Linked DNA regions of Yarrowia lipolytica. The protein of the gene in region 3 interacts with the protein of the main gene of each other region in a biochemical or structural test. Links are inferred from orthologs where the notes say so. Each region holds a gene or a part of one and is shown on either strand. Other genes may lie near its edges. The genes, in order: YALI1_F30395g, YALI1_D09831g, YALI1_F35061g and YALI1_F12365g.

Region 1 (3,145 bases), about 470 kb from region 3:
TGTCGGTCACACCTCAATCACCCCACTAAATATTCTAATATCTGGGCTACAGCGCACGAGAACACGACATCTCCTTCTCGCATGTACAACTGCACCATGTATCAAGGAGCGTCCAGTCCGTCTCCATAGCAATAGGCGAGGAGAGACATTATTGGTTTACCAGGGTTTAGCTCAATTAAAGAGAATGAGAGTCCGAATGAGTTCAGAGTGACAACCTCCCACTTGTCTCACCATGGAAAGGCTGATTCATTCACCTGGAATGTGGAAGTATGTGTACGATTTTGGAAGATACTCATTAGAAATCACAACACAACAAGATATTAAGGTGCCAGATGTTGAAAAGGACGAGACTACAAGGGTACCCGTACTCGTACAAGTAGTATGCGAGGATATTGGCAGAAAAAAAATGCATATATTAACGAACGTGGGAGTATTGTGCTACTCCATGCAGTGAGATCAACTCTTAAATAGGTATGTGTGGCTGATAGGCCGCACAACTGATTGTGAACAAGTAGCTAGACTGTGCAACTTACATGATAACACACCCCTTCTTCTTCTTCTTCTTCACCTCCGAATTCTTCCTCTGATGCCCTTTGAAACTCGTCGAGATGTTTCGGATAGACGCTGCCGAACTCGTACTCTTGACACTCACGTGCTTCGACGCTCTATCGTCGTAAGGCATGTTCAGATAGTCTGCTCCAGTAGAGGACGTGGGGCTGTGGGTAGGGCTGCTCACGCCCATTCCGCTTGTACCAGCCAAGGAAACGGTTGAGCCGCCAAACGACGAGTCTCGACGAATGATCTGTCGCAGAAGGTCCTGGAACACCTGGTCAATGTTGGTCTTGAACTTGGCCGACGTCTCGTAGAAGGGAACCTTGCCCCATTGGTTGGCCAGCGCCACTCCGTCCCGAGGCTGCACCTGTCGCTCGTTTTCCAGATCGCACTTGTTGCCCACCAGCACCATGGGCACGTTGTTGTTGTCCTTGATCCGACACACCTGTTGTCGCAGCTCCTGCAGCTCTCGCAAAGACGACTCCGAGTTGACTGAGTAGACCAGAACGAAGCCCTCACCGTTTCGGATGTACAGCTCTCGCATGGCGGTGAATTGCTCGACTCCAGCGGTGTCGAGAATCTCCATGGTGCAGTGCCGGCCATCCAGATTCACCTTTTTGCAGTAGGAATCCTCAATGGTAGGGTCGTAGGACTCGATGAAAATGTCCTGCACGTACTGGACGGTAATGGCAGACTTTCCGACGCCACCGGCGCCCAGAACGACGATTTTGTAGTCTCTCATGCTGTGTATTTTTTTGTGGTGGTGAGAAGCGTAGGAGGGCTCAGGTATAAGTCATGTTTTGGTAGCTACGCTTGTTAGACATTAAGTTCACGTGTGAAATTTGGGTTTGTCATCAAGTTCTGGGCGGATGTCCATGAACATCGTTGTGATAGGGATAGGGGTGGAAAAATTACATAAAAATGCTTGACTTCATTATGGCTACTTTTTCCCATCTTTTATTTGTTTCTCGTCCTACAGGAATCTCAAATATCAGACGCTGCCCGCCACTCATTCCAACTCATATACACCAACACTAAAGCATAGTCCCAAAACTCTGTTTGTTGTCTCTGTGCTTTTTGTTTTGTTTTTATGTCCTCTTTCAAACAGGCGGGTGAGACAGTTGTGGGTTGTCTTTAGGCGTTTTGCGCCCTCTGCTTTAAGGCGTATACGACGCATTCCGCAGACGTTGCTCGGTACAGTAGTCCGGCTGATGGCAAGTGGCCCTTAAGCCCTTTCATTTGGCCCCCTACTTGTCTCGTTATTCAAGCCGTATATGCCCTGCCTGGCTGCTATACCTCACTGGGCCCACTTGGCGAAGAACCAAAAATAGACCCGTTTATTATTTCGCTCTGACACAAATATTCCGCCGAAAAGTGCCATATGTACTTTTGTGTCAAGACGCGAAACGCGACCTCTTTAGGCTCGGGGCACGTGCTGTACTAGTATAGCCACATAAGGGGTACAAGTGGCATAGAAGCTGTGCAATATTGTGGACACGGGACATAAACAAACCGAGCGCTGTACCAGCCTCGTGTCTAGCATAACAGCTATAGTTGCGCGCGTGTAGATGATTATTCAGCCCGATACAAGTAGACCCCGCTGGAAACTCAATTGTCAAAACACTGTTGACAATCATGAAAATCAGGGCAACCCAAGACCACACCACCACATACAAGCGCGGTGCGAGACACTCTGCCAGTAGCGAGTTCGATACTTGTACAAGGCGAGTTGTTTCATTCTGCGGTCTGAACCGACAGCCTCACGTCTCCCACTCGCTAAGAATGTAACGTCCACTGGCAGTGGTGCGCTCCTTGCATTCCCCTTCTTCTCCTGTCTTGCTGGCTTCGTCCTAACCACACATAGACACTGTGTTGTTAGGAGCGCTTGACAACCTAAAAACCCCCAAGACTGCATTCCGTCACTCCCGAGATGACGGAAGTGGATAGTGAGGAATTTGGGGACGGCAGGGCGCGAACCAGGGCTCTCAAGTCTTAGAATCGCTCAGGAGATCGTCAGATGGACCCCAGACGTCTCCCTTCTCTCCCCTGGCACTTGTACACATGCTACAGTACGAGTAGCTTGCTCTGAACGCTGCCCTACTTGTAGCTCTGCCAACTGTGTGTTTGGTGTGCACCAGTCGAACCTAAAGGGTTGATACAGTGCCCACCCTCAGAGCCAGAGATCTTCATCTGGGGAAAATCAAAACAGCACAGACGGGTATAAACATACATCTGGCAGAAAATGTGCAAAACAACGGGCGAAAAATATCGAGCCCGTGCATTTATACAGCCACGAGAAAAGGAATAAGCCGCTGTCCACATGAAACAAAAGACACCCTGGTTCTTTTTTTTTGCCCCCCTTTTTTTTCTTTCTGTCAAACCAGCCACGCGACACCTCTACTCATTATGCCAGAGAGCCACTATTGTTAGCTTAGCTCACCCCTTGGATGCACTCCTTCATACTTTTTTTTCTCTCCGATTGTTCAACCACACACACAAGGTGCAAAGTTTTCCATCGTGTCATGCAAGGAGTGCCTAAACATCAACCAAGGACCGATGACAGACTCCTTGGGTCGTCTAACTACACTACGAG
Region 2 (4,918 bases), on a different chromosome or scaffold from region 3:
TCAACATATTATATTACGAGTCGGAGAGTTGACTTTACCATCTGATATTAGCTAGCTATCGTACATTCTCAATGCCAAATGCCGTATACCTCAACCGCATATCAACAGCATCCCGGAAGAAAAACTTGTGGATCAAGCCATCAGTTCTCTAGAAGCGTGTGTACATACTGCAACTCATGTCATCTACACCCAAGTGTGATTTGTATGTCTCTGCTCTGCCCATACACGATAGTGATACTTGTATGTACATACTGTAGTGTGAGTACGAATGTACTAGACAAGCCCCCTCGTAGAGTATCGATCTCCCACTTCTTATAGAGACACAAGCTCATGAGTTGTTTGCAGCGTGGTAATAGTAATCTGCACTACGTGGGGGTAATCTACAGTAACACCCTCCATAACTCTGGGTCCAAAAGCTCTCTACATGCTGTGTACGAGGAAAAATGTGTGCAAGCTCTCGGAGAAAGTTCCTTGATCTCGCGTTCTCAAACTCCAAACTCCAATTAGCATTATAATGTTAGTCCTGTAAACTGCCCTCAATACTGGGCATATCTGGAACCTGCGGACTCGCAGTCTGATAACTCTTCGGCGACTGCATGGAAGAGGACGCCGGTGAGGTGGGGGAAATGACCATCGACTTCTTACGCGTCACTCCACCATTGGGAACCGTAAACTCGTCACTGTACATGGGAGGAGTCTTGATGCCAATAGCCTGTTCAGCAGCCTCGATGTCTCCTCCGTTGGCATCCAGCTGGCTCTGCAACAACGCCATGTTCTTGTGTGACTCCTGCAGCATCTCCTGGGCCCGATTCAGTGTCACAGTAGGAGTCACACACGACGACACAATAGGAACTGTATCATCTCGGTCAATGGTGGCCTTGAGAAATGCATTCATCCATCCCTTCATCTCTTCCGCGGTGTCCACCGCAAAGTAGTGCACCTTGGGGACAGTGAACATGAGTCCCTTTTTGGACCCAGGAGCCGGCGGCAACAGCTTGAAGCAGTATCTACCTGCTCCTGTGCCCGATGCATACAAAGCCACCAGCTTGTCTTCATTGTCACGTGCAGGAACCACCTTGTGGGCCGTCAGGTCAATTAGTCCTCGCTCGTAGGTGTCGTTAAGAGATGCAAAGTACGACAGCCGGGTGCCTGTGAGACAGAAGAACCGTTGCTTCCACGTGCCCACGCTCTGAGAACCCTTCTTGGACATCCAGCCCGAAAAGTCGGCCTTCTTGGCAGCCTCGCGGGGATTCACGTGCTTGATACCTTCTCGGAAGGCCGACGTCTTCTGCTTCGAGCTGAGACTCTTGGACCGCATGTTGGAGGCCGAGGGAGTCTTTCGGAGCGTTCTGAAGGGACCGCTGCCGGTTCTCTTGGGTGTGGGAGGAGTGGGCATGGCCTCTGGACGCTGCTCTTTCTGGTGCTGGATGGGCGACAGAGTGAGATCGGGATCTGAGGAGCCTACTTCTCGCCCAGAACGCTTGGAAGGACTCAAGGGGGCGTTCATGACCGCGTCAAGAAGAGAAGATCGTCGCGACGATCTCGATTTCGGCTCTGGGGATGACGACAGCGAGTCCGAGTCCAAATGAGTGGCGTTCTCAGATGAGAGAGAATGCCCCGCCGAGGGGTGGCGGTGCAGCTGGGGCGAGTCCATGACCGAATGTGGCGTCGAGTGCGACGAGTGGGCGTGCTGGAGGGGAGGACGTTGCGACTCACGAGACTTGCGGGGGAAATCCCGAACGGATTCCTTAGATTTGCGTGAATCGACAGCCCCCTCTGGTGGCTGCTGCGTCTTGCGCGGCAACTCGGGAAGATCGTGTTTGGGAGGCTCTGTAACTGATTGACGTGAGCTGTTGTTAGACACGTTGGCTGATGACCGTCCTCGAGATTGCTGTTGCTGCGATGCAGACAGGCGAGGGTCGTGTACCGAACTCCTCTGTGTCTGGGGCTCAGACTGTGATTGTCGTTGTGACTGAGACAGTCGCTGTGATGGTGGTTGCTGGGGCTGTCCCTCTTCAAAACCAAAGTCGTCAATAGTGCCTCCTTGGGGGATAGCAAACTCCGTGCTGGGTGTAGCGGTGGAAGGCGACGAAATTGGAAACTCGCTATTCAGTCTAGGAGAATCAAGATTGTCCAGAGACTGGGACCGTTTCCGCATATGACCCTTCTTAGGCGACACGTATGCGGTGGAGGAGCGTCGGTTGGTACTGCCACTGGTTGGCCGCGGCGACATGGGATCGCCCCGCAGCTTCTCAATCTCCTTGTACACCTCGAACCGCGTGCCGAACGACGTGATGTCCAGCTCCTTGAGATGTTGCAGCTCGAGCTCGGTGAGGATGGCACCTGATATCTTGTGTTCGACAAAGAGCTTGGGGATGGCCGGCTCAAAGCCCCGGTTCTCGAACCATCTTGCCACCTGTATCGGCGTCCACGACATGACGCGTGCTGGGTCCAGCTCGCCTCCGTTGGCCGACGCCTTCTTGGTCACCGACAGCTGGCTTGTGTGGTTGTTGAGCTCCGAAAGCACCTCATCGATGTCTGTGAGCGTCTTTGTGACCGATGGCGATTGCTGTGATTGCGAAACGACCCGTGAGCTTGGATTCGAGCCTGCGGGAGTTGTGGGGCCCGAAGAAGGAAGCTGCTGGCCCGGCTGGACGTCCGCGTCCATGAGCTCGTCCACGGTGGACGCAAAGACGCGTGGAAACAGGCCCGTGGCGCCCGTGATGAGCCGCTTGCCAATGTACCAACCGTCTTTGAATTCAAAGTCGTTTTCAATCACCTGGATTTGCTCGCCGGACACAAACGTCAGCTCGTCCTCCGACCGGTTGTTGAAATCGTGGATGGCGATCAGCACCGTCTTGACCTCGTGCGAGGGCGTGGGTGCGGGATTGACCGACATTGTGGTGGAGTGTTGGTTGGAATGAGTGTGGTGGAAACTGGGAGGTGTCTTGTGTGGCTGTTGGTGGTGGTATCGTGTGTCTGTGTAATGAACTGTCTGTGTCGTGCTCGTGCGCTCACTTGATCAATTTTGGTTTGTATCGTGTCTCTGCGGCGTGTCTCGTAGCACCTATCCGTGCTCCTATCTGTGTAAAGTGGTGATCGTGGGGAATTTTAAAATTCCACTTTGCCTTCCTGACAATAGTGCACTTGGGTGGACTTGAAACACACAAACTTTGGGACCGCCTTTGCTTCACCTCTGCAGCTTGGGACTGCAATATGCAACAGGAGACAACAAGAAGGCAGAAATGAGGGGGTTCAAGGGGGTGTTTTGGGCGAGATTTTGGAGGGGAAACCCCACAACTACAACCAAAACCAACCTTCTGACTAATATCGACCTTTGAAACCCCCAAATTCACCCACAAACACCCCATCATCGCCACGCTCAACCCCTGTTGTCAGGGTAAGGGCTGCTCTTTAGGTGCACTTAGACTCTTAGACTCGCACGTTATATAACAAAAGCAGCGGTGAGCTTGTCTGAGTACAATACAAGTAATACAAGTAACAAGTAAGACTGTACAAATCACCCTGGTATCGTACAATGGCTTATGATGTGATGTGGCCAGCACGACGCTCAGGGGCTGTCAAACCAGCTCCGCGACTGCCCCGCCCAGCCGTCACCTGACTCAATAGTCCACTTTTACATCCCTTTGGGTTCTACTTGTAGACGTCTCAAAATGTGGGCGTTGTCAACATCCTATTGCACCACTGCACCCTACATATGTACCTTTCCCCTGACGCCTTGTTTGGGAGGCCGGAGAGCGCTGTCCAGTTAGTGAACACTGTGCTGTACGACCGCACTGGCGCTAGCACGAGTCATCTACAGTAGTATGGGTTTTGCCTGTAGGTGGGGTAATGGTGCGACACTTGGACCTCGGTTATCTCACAATCTCGTCCTGTGACTCCGTGGCCGCACTAGTGGCATTCTACAGCGTCGTCCTAGTTGCAAATCTGCATGCTAGCCGTGCGTAGAGGAATGCGTGAGTACCAGCACAAGCGGCTAGCTATTGTACCAGTGTACGAACTGTAGTCTGCCCTGGGCTTTGGAAAGTACGGGGTAAACAGGGCTACTTATACTCGATGTCCACCTCTTGAGTCCTGTCACCCGCACCTATTACTCCGTATAGCCAATAATTAATACACCGTTGAGGAGGAAATTACATTGGTCTGCATATTAGGAGGGGCAGAAAATTTAGGTGCTGACTGGACTGACGGCGTGTACGACGACACTGTGATGTCCAAGTGCGGCTTGCAGAGTGTCTCCGAGCTGCTATTGGAACAGGTAAAAGTTGGTTACTAAGCAGCGTGCCTCAGACCACCAATACCAGCCATTTGGTCTCCGTCTTCACCACACTTGACTTGCTTTTGTACGATATACGAGCGCGGTGACACTGCATGTACAGCACCTTTCTTTTTTTTCTTTCTTTCTTTCCGCCCTTCAAGTGGAAACCTTGCTCCGCGCCATGGAGTGCGGCTGGAGCAGAAGGAGGACAGGTTATGCACTGGTTGAGTGAGTGGCTGGGTCACGTGAAAGTGCCTACCTGCTTTGATCACGAGACTGACACGTGATTGAAAGTGTAACTGTGGACATGGTATGTACTGGTGACATACATTGGCCCAAAAGTTGGCAAATTCCATCCCTTTTGCAGATCACCGACCAGGGTTCTTGCGCAGCGATCGCGTGTTGCCTCGCTCCAAATGCACGGGATGAAGAGATCGTCATAGTTCGGAGTGCGAAGCCCTACGAGAATGCAACGGGAATAGCCATAATGGGAAGCACCATTATATGGACGCAGTATTTCCGAGAGGTCTCCGTGTGAAGTCGTCTACATAATCAGTACAGTATGTACAAGTACACTCAAACTGTGAGGCCTGTCATATGTGTCCTTCTCTACAACATTAAACAATGGTCTATGATCGT
Region 3 (4,689 bases):
TTACTAGCCCAGATACCGTGGTGGGACAGACCGATCCGGACTATATGATGGACGACGATGCCCCCATGGATGGAACCAGGAGAAACTCGTTGCATTAATCGGCTCTTCTGAAGTGGGCGTCTACTAACTGTACATACTGTAATAACATAGACTGTATACCTATCAGATGGTATACATGTATAACACCAAGTGACACGACCCTGTAAGCGAGCCAGTGTAAGACATATAGCTACCCGTACGGTCCCCCGATCCCTCAAATCATAACACAGCCTTAAAAATATATGCTACACCTAAAATACACAATGCCCACATCGTCTTCGGACGCACCTCCTGGTGGTGGTTCAAGTTTTCAAACGGGTTGGGTGCAAGACGCGCGACGCTCAATGCATAAAGAGCGATCTATAATAGTTCGAACCGCAGTTTATACAGATAGTACCAAACAGACAGTTTGAAGCCCGCTTTGAACAGCCAGAAACGCGAAATTTGACTCCAGCACTCCCAAAGGCCACTCTTAACTAGCGTACAAAACTAGCTTGTTCTTTCCGTACACTGCAGCGCCCAGATCCTCATCGTTGCTGATAACCACCCGGCTACCGTCATCTGCCTTGTACAGTAGACTCAGCGTCTCGACCCGTAATCGCTCACACAACCGGTCGTGTAGAGTAGCGTAATCGATGTCCGAGGGTACTCGAATCGCAATCAGATCGTCCTGATAGAAAACCTTCACCTTGACCGAGTTAGATGACGACTGCGGCGTATTGACGGCGGGGTTATCGGGCGTGGGACCCACCGTGGACACAGAGGTCATTCGCTGGTGTCCGCCGCCGGGGAGTCCGGTGGGTTCAGGAGGACCCATGAGACCCGATGCAGTGCTCACAGGCCGAGACTCCTCGGTGCCTTCCGAATAGCTTACGCTGCTGGAAGACACATTAGTCGGCCCCAGAGATTTGGGATGAATGCCCTTTGCCCGCGCCTCGGCCTGAGCGGCGTCAAACGACTCGGTCTCCGGCGTCAGAGGCTGTGGAAGGTCGTCGGTGGGACCGGCGGCCGCCACATCACCAGGGCGGAGAGCAAACAGCTCCTGCATGATCACAGACCGTGAAATATAAGCGGGAAGAGCCATGAGCTTGCGGACGTACTCGTCAAGGTTGTGACGTCGCTGCATGGAGATGGAGTCGTTAACGTAGGTAAGAGGCCCGGGCATGAAAGGAAGCAGACGAGGCTGATCATTGTGACCAGCAGCCTCTTCGAACACCCCCAGCAGGTTGATTTGGAATACGTAGAAGTCCTGGTAGTATCGGCACAATCGCCGCATGGAGCCGTCCTCCAGCTCTGCGTTGACGAGGTACCAGTATCGACCCGAGTGTAATGCAAACGACTCGACGGACGCCGCTACAACGAGAGGTCCAGTGGCAGGGGCAGCGTAATTTTCCCGGAGAGCCTGCTGTTCCCGGAGAGCCTGCTGTTCCTGCAGAGATTGTCTTTCTTGCAGAGTCTGGTGTTCCTGTTGAACCTGGTGTTCCTGCAGAGTCTGCTGTCCACGCAGAGCATGCTGCAGAGCCTGCTGCTGCGAGTGTTGCTGGGGGTCGTCAAAATTGCCAAGAGCAATGCTGGACGCCTTGTAGTCTGCTGCCATCCTTTTCCACTCTTCCACCTTGGGCAAGCCAGAAGCCCGTAAGGCAGACTCCACGTCGACAACCGCCTTTCCTGTCACTATGTCTCTGATCTCGATAAACGAGGCAGGGATCAGACCGGGGCCTCCCAGTCGGCCAACGGGCTTGGCAACAAACCACTCGTGATTGGATTGGGCCTGAATGATGATGTTATCGCCCTTGGATGCTTGCAGCTCGTCGGGCCGCTCGGCTTGGAAGTCGTAGAGCACCACGCCGTGCAGAGTGGGGGTGCTCTTGCCCTGCGACGATCGGTCGGATGCGCCCGCCATGGAGGGTTCTCTGGTGTGGCCTCCGGAGCCAGATGCGCCCCCTAAACTGAGGTTCTGCATGGACTGTGAAACGTCTAGCCCATTGGCCAGAACATGTTGAGGTGAGTGCTGAGCATGCTTGCTCTGACTCGATCTGTGCAGCGCCTTTCGTTCTTCGGGGAGAAGAGCCTCATTTGGGTCGGGCGAGGTGATACCCTCCTTCTTGCCGAGAACCTCAAAGTAAGGCACGGGCACCATGCCTCGCACGTTGCGCAGCGGGTTGAAAGCCTCAAACCACTCCGAGTCCTGTTCGTTGGAAATCACGTGGAAAAAGTCGCCCTTGCAAAATGAGAGCTCGCCGGGTCCTTGTGGCTCGTAGTCGTAAAGTGCTCGAATCACCATTTTCGGGGGGTTCGTGTGGAGCGGGTTTTTGTCGCTGACCAGCGAGTTGGCCGAGCCAGACGACGTGGTCTTCTCGCCTTTGAGAGAGCGGCGGATTCCCTGAGTTAGTATACGGAACCGAGGGGCCGTGCGTCAGGAGCTAACAGCAGCCGGCTTCTTGTGTCATGACGTAAAAAACAAGCCCATAACAACACCAAGTCTGTGGTGACAAGGATGTAAAGAGTCATAAAACAGCCTTTAGGAGGGATTGGTGAAGTGATGGGTATATCGATGGGGTAGCTCCGGTTGGAAGGGTGTTTCTGCTCGTATGCCCCAGGCCTGGAAACAGAAACAAAACGAGCTTGGAGCTTCTATCTGGTCAATGATTGCGTAGTCAACACTGAATATGGGTCCGCTGAATACACGGTCCATGCCCCTGACTAGCGCCCGGTTTAGTTGCTTATCATGGACATGGCAATCACACTGTGACAGCCCCAAAGCTACCCCAAAGCCACACAGAAACGATGAAAACAGCGATGCAGAACATTTAATACCAACGTAATCTCCAGTTCTGACTGTTCCCATGTCCACCATTGCTCTTTCTCCATTTCCGTTCATGTTTCCTCTGTGACAGCATGGGGTCTCCACTCACGCCACAGCACCTTCCTAGGGGTGTAACGACATCTGGAGACATGCTGGGTGTCCAGCGAGCTTCGTGGACCCATCACACACCCTCAGCAGTCCGCATACGGCCTCCAAACAGCCGTTAATACTCACCTTGATCATTTCTCAAACGGTAGGGACGACGGATACTGAAACTGTGTTTGCACTTTGCCTTTGAAACCTTAGCACCACAGGGATGATTAGTGGGGTGCAAGTGGGAGGAAGGTAGTGAGTATAACTTGTGTGAATTTCAGGAAAGCCCAAAAGTGATGGAGGGTGTGTAAATGGGGCTTGCCTGGTTTATTTATTTTTGAAAACAAACTTGGCCTCGATATTTTCAGACCCCCGCTTTCCTCTCTCTCTCATTCTTCTAATACCCCCTTTATATAACCACACTGCCCCATGGGCAACATGTTGGCCTCATTTGATCTTAACCACACCCACTGGAAGTTGGAGCTTACCCTACTTTCATGTCCGTGGTGTCATAATCTGTCATGCGGTGGTGCTGCAAAGATATCTGTGTGTTTAAATGAGTGTGGAACGGTGCATGCAGACGACGACTCAGCCGTGCCAAGCCCGGATTTGGCTTTCTCCAGAAATATCTCTAGGAAGGGGTAAATGAGGAGTGGAGTCCCTCGAATCTGCTGGTGGTTGTTTTCTTGTCATACAAAGTCATGATTCCATTTAGCGGAGCTACTTACGCCCGGCTGAAGCGAACATGCTGGATGATCGCCACCGCGGTTGTGTCTACACCCCTCGCATCGACTGGCACTTTCGGGCTGGATCAATATTGGATCCATTTTGGGCGTTTAGGTTATGTAAATGCACTGTGCCGAAAGAGGTTGAATGTTTGTTCAAAAAGAGATTGAAGATGCTGCCAAAAAGTGTCGCCATATTGCCATGTAACGTACTTTTACTTGCTGAATGACCCCGAAATGAAGCTATTTACCCATCCAACACTCTTGGTCAGGAAGCCCTTTTTCGTTGTACTCAATTGTCCTGTCCTTGGTGGCCTATTTTTAGCCCCGTAGGCTTTAGCGTCAATAACGCTGTTCTGAAGACTTTTTCCTTCCTTAATATTCTTATTTGACAGAAAATGTCCACTCCTCCGCGCAACTCTGTTGTGAAACAATGGTGAAACGCTGCTGCGTAGAGTGGGAGACAGGGATCCAGGCCGTCTGAGTAACACCCACGTTTACAAACCCACACAGACATTCGCATTATCTCGGGAGCTTCATAAGCCAAGTGGCTGCCATGAAAAACTCTTTGTTGGTAGCCGTTGATTAGGGCAGTTTTGACGAACATTAGCGTGGGGGGCAGTACATACCATACAAATACAGATCTGTAACACGACTGAATTGTCCAGGAGAGAAAAAGAAATTCTTGCAGAGGAAGATACTGTGATACACATGGTTGTCTCGGCTGGTGCGGAGAGAGATCTGGAACACCGGACGAGCCGCCAGTGAGGATTGCTTCCGCAGTATGTACTGTAAGTACTGTACCGTTAAAAGCACGAGACTCGCAGACCTAAAAATAACAGTCAAGGCTTTGCAACCAGCCTAAGCCTTGCCAAGTTACCACCTTCTACCTATACAGCACTTTCTTAGATTATACGAGACTGGGGCGTGTCGTGTGCCCTGTGCTGGCGCTTCGGACAATTCTTTCGATAACAGAACCTTCACTTGATTGGAGCACCTTGGCCCCCTTCGATTCAAAACGTACCG
Region 4 (7,011 bases), about 2.3 Mb from region 3:
TCGGACATATTAGTCATTAAATGGGGTCCTACCTATCATCTGAAAAACTTCTCATTTCCCCATCTCTTTTTAATCATCAAATCCGGATCCCCAGCACAACTTTTATTTAACTAATTGTCAAGTAAAGACTTAAACAAAACTGTGCCTAAAGAGGCAGTACAAAAACTCACTTGAAGACCCATCAGGATCGTTGTAGAGCCATTGATGGAGTCCTGGACCTCGTTAGCAGACCTGTTTACCGCTCCACATCCGCTCAAGTTGTAGCCCACATTGGACTCACCACTATATCAAGACGATGGCATCTACTCATACACATGATGTCGACCATATGGAATTGCTTTCGGGGCTCGTATTGTCAGTTCGAACGATTCAACGTCCAGACAAGCACACAATCGTTCACAGACTACTCACTGTCCACCATCTACATCTCCACGTCTGGTCTGCCCCTTCATCTACAGTTGCTGGAACAGCCACCCCAGTCAATCATTACGTGGTATCATTAATAAATAATCACGACTCCTGAATCGGTCGTTTGTCGTTGAACCGAATCACCTTGGCGAGCGACGTGTCCAAGAAGTTGAAGTCTTGGCTCAGCGTGCAAAAGGGATGGTCCAATAGTTGTTGAGCTGTCGGTCGTTGTTCCGGATCACTGGGTTAGTATCTACCAGGGTGTGAAAAAGCAAGAGGGACTTCCTCTGCAAAACAAAAACCCCACCATTATTAACATAACCAACGCTTCACGTTAGCTCGTCTCGTCTCGAATCGCTCCCATCGCTCACGATTCTCGTTACTCACATAATAAAACACTTGTCCAAAAAGTCCTTTGCATCTTCCGACACAAACGTCTTGGTATCCTCCGGAATAGGAGGAGCCAACCGGCTATTTCCAAGTTTGTACATGGCTCCAATAGCCTCATCGTTGCTCCACGGTCGTCGTCCGGCAAACATCTCCAGCACAACACATCCAAGAGACCAAATGTCAACCTTGGCGGAATAGCCCTGCTTCTCATTGTGGATGACATTGTGAATCACCTCGGGAGCCATCCAGAAAATCGTGCCCTGCATGGACATTTCGGCGTCGTTGGAGTAGATGTCCCGAGACTTCTTCGAGATGCCAAAGTCCGAAATCTTGCACACTCCGTCCAGGTCGAGCAACAGATTGTCACTCTTGAGATCTCGGTGAAGAATGCCACAGCCATGCAGATACGCTAGACCCTCAAGAATCTGCCGCGTAAGGAATCGCACAATGTTCTCTTCAAACCGACCATGGTTGCGCAAACAAGAACCCACACTGCCTCCAGGCACGTACTCCAGAAACAGGTTGTAAGTGTGGTCCTGCATGGTTTCAAAGCCTAGATACTGCACAATGTTGAAATGGTCCAGGTTCTTCATAGTACCGACTTCGGCATGTAGGGCACCCACACCGACCTCAGCAGCAGCCTTGTTGCGCACCTCAACCTGCTTGACTGCCATCATGTCTCCAGTGGTGGCATTAAGAGCCAGATAAACCTTACCAAAGGTACCCACGCCAATCAGCTCACCCTTGACCCATACAAACTTCTTGAGATGGCCCCGCTGGTCGCGCACAGTAGAAATGTGGCCCTTCTTGATCTGGTTGGGCGTAGCTTCCACCACCTTCTGGCCCCACATTTTCGTCGATCGCCGTCGCAGCAAAGCCGGATTCGTCATTGTGGACTTGGTGGATGACGTGGAGAACCGTTTCCGGGCCTCGGATGCCTCCCTGGCAACCACTCGGATCGATTTGATACGGGAGGTGCCCGTTTTTCGCGAGAATTTTGCCGCGGGAGTCTTCTCCTCCTTCTCCAGCGTGCCCTCCTCCTTGATCTTGGAGGTGAGAGGTGTGATAGTGGCCTTTCGGTCGTTCTGACTCTGGTCAATGATCATGGAACGGGGTTTCACGTAGTCGAGCGTCTCGCGCTTGTCAGGCGACGTGGGCGGTGACTCCACATCGTCAATGATCGGTTTATCGAGATCGGCGTTGGGGAAGAACCGCTCCAGGTTGTCGTAAACAACCTCAGCAGGAGGACGGACGGCCCAGACGTCTGAAGACGAAGAAGTGGAGGAGCGCGTGGATGAGACCGTCGAAGAGACCGCCTCCGTCGGCTTGGTCAGCTTCTTGGACCACAGCCCATCATCTGACTCATCATCATCGTCGTCAAACTGAATGTCGTCAAACGAGATATCGTTCTCTTGGAAGTTTTGCTCGGGCGCAACTCGCACGGAGGAGGATGTGGACCTTCGCTGCAGCTTGTCCTGGTAGTTGGGCACCTTGAATTTGAGTCCCGATCGGCCAAAAGTGAAGTTGCCAGACAACTTGGGGTTAAGACGAGACGGTTGAGGGGCAGCAGAAACCGCAGTTGTAGCTGCAGTAGGGTCGTTGGACTGCTGATCAACAGGTGAAGAGGCTGCACTGACAGGTTTGCGCATCACTAGCCGGTTACTGCCTCCATGATACGGTCTAGGAATGAACTTTTCAGACTCACCCGGTGTGTACGAGTTGACAGCCGTGGATCTTACTCGCACAGAAGAAGATGACTCGGGACGTCGGGGGGCTTCTCGACGTGCGACAAAAGACGTGTTTCGAGACAAGGTATCGTAGGGAGATGAGCGTCGGTTGTCAAAGTTGATCTCCTTCTTGGGAGGAGGACGAATTACCTTGAACGAATCCTGGTCGTCAGAAGCAGTTTGAATAGATGATTGGGAAGGCTGCCGGGTCGGTTTGGAGGGTGGTTGGCTGGAAAAGTAGTCCCCAGGAGGCTCTTGCGTCTTCGTGTAGAGGTAGGAAGGCGTGGCAGGGTACTTTGTGCCCCCTGAGGGGGTTTCAAGGGAGTAAATCGACTTTCCAGGGGAAGAAGTAACTGAGGAAGACGTCTGTGCAGCCACTGCGGGTGCTAGAGTGGCTGAGGGAGACGCCGACTCGACCAACAGCTTGTAATTCGATAACATGACTTTGTTGTCAGAAAAGAAGTAGCTGAGGGCTTCCTCGTCGAGTTTCTCACTAGCTTCACTACCCACATCGGTGAGTCTGAACCGCAGATCATGAGTATTGAGGCCCAAAGCCTTCGCAATGACATCTGTAGCTTGAGGAACCGAAAGCACATTCTTCAAGTCCGCGGCCACAAAATGCACGTTGTCCAGAGTGACCAGAATCATTCTGTCGTTCTGGGTGATTGTAAAGTACCGGTCCAGAGGAGTACTGGGTGCCGGCTGAGAGTTGACCGAGAAGCCAGACAGCGAGGAATGGTGGGTAGAAGCAGAGGTAGGAGTCTGCTGAGACCCCGACCGAGGAGGAAGCGGGGGAGGGTTGTATGTGGGGTTAGGAATCGGCACTTTGGGCGGTTTAGGAGGTGCCCACCCAGATGAAGATGTCAATGTAGGTGAGGACGTTTTATCCTTGGACTCGTTGGAGTACAGAGAAGCAGCTCCATCGTGATCCACAGGAGAAGGGGGGATTGTCGAGTTTCTGTTCTTTGAAGACGATCTGTCCCTTCGCCGGAGTCTCGAAAACAGGTTTCGACTCTTTCTCTCTTCCTCCTTTGGTAGACCATCTTCCCCCAAAATGGAAGACTCAGACGACGACGACTTATGGTGAGTACGTCTGAAGAAGTTTCCGGACGGAGATACGGGTGACTTCATGGTGCGGTAGAGACCCTCATACGCTGTCATTGGTCGCTGAGGACGATTTGTCTTGAGCGGTCGAGGGGTGATTTTGTCAGCTGGAGCTGAAGTGGTAGGCACTAGCGGAGATGTCAGAGACGAAGTTGAGGGGCTGTTTGGAATGTGAGCTTTGGCCTGAACAGCTGAAGGTGTAGAAGTTGGGGGAGGGGGAGCTGAATTTCGATGCGGGGCGGGGGAGGAAGCAGAATTCGTTGGAGGCGGAGGAGGGGGAGGGGGCTCAGAGGGAGCCGGGGAGTGATGTGGAACGGGAGAGTTTTGAGAGATCACAGGAGAGCCCATTTGAGGAGAAGTAAACGCTTGTGGGCTGCTTGTTGCCGCATGTCTCCCTGTAGTACCATCACTGCTCTGAGAGGAGTTCAACGCGTCAACGTCAATAGTGCCACTGGATGTACCTCTGTTAAGCGTCTTCCGCAGGATATGAATGAATCTCGAGGGAGAAGTGTCCACCTCTCCATTGTTCAGACTAAGGTGGCCCAGAGCCTTGAGTTTCTGGTAGCTCACGAGCTCCAAGAACCGCCCTTCCACGATGTTGCGTTCTGTGAAGGTCTGGGCCCAGTCGGGGCCAAACTGATACAAGTCCAGAAACATGAGCACACGGTCCAGCGTCCAATTATTGGGCTCGTCTGCCTTCCAAGAGATGGCGTTTCCAATGGGATGCGGCGACGAGTACTGGATCGGGCTCTGTTTACTCGGCTGTTCCTGGTTCTTATGGCTGGAGTCGTTTTCAAACAAGTATGCCGAAGGTGTCGGAGGATGAGGCGACGTGGCGTTCACAGATCTATTCCCCGGCGTGAGATTGAGGGGAGACGGGGCTCCCTGGCGTAAAATGTCTCTGCTTTTCTGGAATTTGAGTCTGGTCTCGTTAGGACTTGACGACAGCACTCCGTCTGGAGACGGCGCGGTATGGAACGACTGTTCGGACTGCAGAGACTGGAACGAGGTGTCAAAGTTGTTGTTGTTGGGTGTGCGATGTAGCGAAGAGTAGGAAACAGACGACTTGAGCTTCTGCGGAGTCTGCAAGTTGTTGGTACTGCTGTTGTTGTTGTAAGTGTTAAGATTGGCATGGGAAAGATGGTGCGTGAGACTGGGACCCGAGTTGGCATTCGAGTCACCATTGGTATCACTCACGACACGTCGGTCGACGCGGATCTTGTTTGGGTTCGGAACCAGTCGCTCCAGAGCTCCAGTGGACACAGATCGGTCTGCGACCTCAGACAAGTCGCTGCGCGAACGAAGTCGGTTTTTGGGCACGGTCACCGAGTACGGCGACGACGACACGGACTGCAGATCGTCCGTGAGATTATGAGCGTCGTCGTACGTCGGAATCAGGTTGATATGGAACTCGCCCATGGTTCCGTGTACGGGTGCTTGTACTGTACAAGTAGTGGTGAGATGCTGGAGTGCGTGGTCTCGTGTTTGCAGGGAGTTTAAGTTTATCGGGGTCAGAACGAGAGAGGTTGAGGGGGTTGAAGGAGATTATGGGGGAAAGTGAAGAGTGCAAAGCGTCATAAATCTGGTTATGAGTTAATTCCGTTTTTCCCCGTTCCAAAAAGGTCACTTTTGGAGCAAGTTCAGCCACATTAATCCGTCCTCTCTTCGTTAAAGCCGCACCCAACTGGGACAACCGAGTCAAATAAATCCTCAACTGTTTTGTTTAGATTTGGTGACGAAGTGAGGGAGAGATATTGGGGAGTATTTGACCGGTAATTGAAGATGGTGACTAGACACGTGTATCTCAGCATCTGTAGAGACCTCTATTAACATGTTTAGACCTTCTTAGATCTAGACCTTAGATCTTAGACCCTCTTAGATCCCCCATCCTCCATAGTCACACTGGTACCTAGTATGGCTACAATCATCAATTCACCGTACCAAGCAAAATACCAAATGGAGATATTCGTCTGCAACTTTTCAACTCCAGACACTTTATCGATACCCCCACTATATAATGACCTCACTACAACCTCAATTGTTGCCTTCCATTCACATACTGATCTCAGTTGTAGATCACGACCCACAACTGCACATGATAGCCAGTGCTCGTTGGACAGTAGCACCTGTGTCGCCCGGTGTCGTTCCTTTACGCAATAAATGCATTCCTATATACATAACGCAGAAGAACCAAATTACTCGCTCCACTCGTAATTTCAACTTCCTCTTCTAAGCCTTGAGTTCCAGCTCGCTAATTCGAATGATGGTCTGGGGCACCTTTCGCTGGGTCCGAGTGTAACCCTTGTCCTTGATTCGATGGTGAACATGGGTGGTCATGGGCTCAGCAGTGAGAGCAGTCACAACGCCCTTGATGTTGAAGTGGTCCTGGGAAATGTACTTGTCACCCTGGAACACGTGATCCCGAGAGCCGATCTGGCTCACGTGCTCAAAGTTGATCACGTCGCCCACCTTGAGGCCCTTGAACCGGTAAGGCAGTCGCATCTGGTCGCCCTTGGTCACCAGGTAGGCGTTGTTGTGCATGTGCACCTTGGCGAAAATGTGCTGGTTGGCGAGCAGCAGGGGCTTGATCTGCTCGGCAGACACCTTGAGGAACCCGCTGGGCGCGCTGGCGGCGGTCGACATGTGCCGCACCTGTCTCAATAGCGACATCATTGTGTTTGTGTGGTGTTGTGTGAAGTGGTGATGTATGTATGAAAAAGTTTCAGTTGGAAGATTGGTACATGATGTAAGCGGGGCGGTGAATGGGGGGATTCAAGAGACGAAAATACCACCGAGTATGTACGGCGTATATTTGGGGCGGAATTGTCTTGTTTTATTAGAATCGGAGCATGTGATATAATCTAGCGCTCGAGGATCGAACCCGCAATCACGGTTAATGTAATGTTTTTTTTCTTCTTTTTTTTTTCTCACTTTTCTTAGGGTATTTTTTTATAACATATACTGTATATACTGTAACATATTATATATATTTTTATACACAATACATAAAATATGATGCATTCAGTAAACTAATCATTCAACTAAATATTCCAACTAAGACATACATTACTAAGCCGATATCAACAGCAAATTGGTCAATTTAATTGGAGACGGAGGTACGAAAATTCAAAAGAATTTTTTTTTTGTGAGAGCCACCAATAAAAACCCGAATCTCCTCTAACATCTGCTTTACCCCAAGTGCAATTATCAATTAAATTGTTTATTTCAAAAAAAGAGGGGAAAAAAGAAAAAAATACATCACTGCGAGAAAAAAAATACCATCACTGCGGGATTACGACTCAACTCGAAATTAGGCCCAAACAGGCCATTGCTAAATCCGATGCGCCCGAGATCAGAGCCCCGACGGAGATAAATTGTGCGT

Evidence for each region.
Region 1: the proteins of YALI1_F35061g (region 3) and YALI1_F30395g form a complex in vitro, tested with the Saccharomyces cerevisiae proteins (2 studies listed by BioGRID). The link is inferred for Yarrowia lipolytica from reciprocal best matches to the Saccharomyces cerevisiae genes BEM1 and RSR1.
Region 2: the proteins of YALI1_F35061g (region 3) and YALI1_D09831g form a complex in vitro, tested with the Saccharomyces cerevisiae proteins (2 studies listed by BioGRID, with this or other methods). The link is inferred for Yarrowia lipolytica from reciprocal best matches to the Saccharomyces cerevisiae genes BEM1 and BOI2.
Region 4: the proteins of YALI1_F35061g (region 3) and YALI1_F12365g interact in a test that uses a peptide from one of them, tested with the Saccharomyces cerevisiae proteins (2 studies listed by BioGRID). The link is inferred for Yarrowia lipolytica from reciprocal best matches to the Saccharomyces cerevisiae genes BEM1 and BCK1.

Annotation. Positions count from the first base shown.
Region 1 is NC_090775.1:3,038,251-3,041,395, forward strand, and holds YALI1_F30395g (uncharacterized protein), read right to left. Parts: upstream 1,295-3,145; coding exon 530-1,294; downstream 1-529. UniProt on the Saccharomyces cerevisiae protein: Ras-related protein which binds GDP/GTP and possesses intrinsic GTPase activity. Involved in development of cell polarity during the cell division cycle, and essential for bud emergence.
Region 2 is NC_090773.1:981,086-986,003, reverse strand, and holds YALI1_D09831g (uncharacterized protein), read right to left. Parts: upstream 2,900-4,918; coding exon 518-2,899; downstream 1-517. UniProt on the Saccharomyces cerevisiae protein: Protein involved in bud formation. Functions redundantly with BOI1 to promote the fusion of secretory vesicles with the plasma membrane at sites of polarized growth. Acts as an abscission inhibitor during cytokinesis in response to chromatin bridges.
Region 3 is NC_090775.1:3,503,754-3,508,442, forward strand, and holds YALI1_F35061g (uncharacterized protein), read right to left. Parts: upstream 3,089-4,689; coding exon 3,080-3,088; intron 2,423-3,079; coding exon 512-2,422; downstream 1-511. Other genes in the region: YALI1_F35029g (uncharacterized protein), read left to right, coding at 1-98.
Region 4 is NC_090775.1:1,235,904-1,242,914, forward strand, and holds YALI1_F12365g (uncharacterized protein), read right to left. Parts: upstream 5,049-7,011; coding exon 796-5,048; intron 650-795; coding exon 511-649; downstream 1-510. Other genes in the region: YALI1_F12422g (mitochondrial 54S ribosomal protein bL21m), read right to left, coding at 5,859-6,302; YALI1_F12430g (uncharacterized protein), read right to left, coding at 6,888-7,011. UniProt on the Saccharomyces cerevisiae protein: Serine/threonine protein kinase involved in a signal transduction pathway that plays a role in yeast cell morphogenesis and cell growth. This pathway seems to start by SMP3; then involve the kinase PKC1 that may act on this kinase.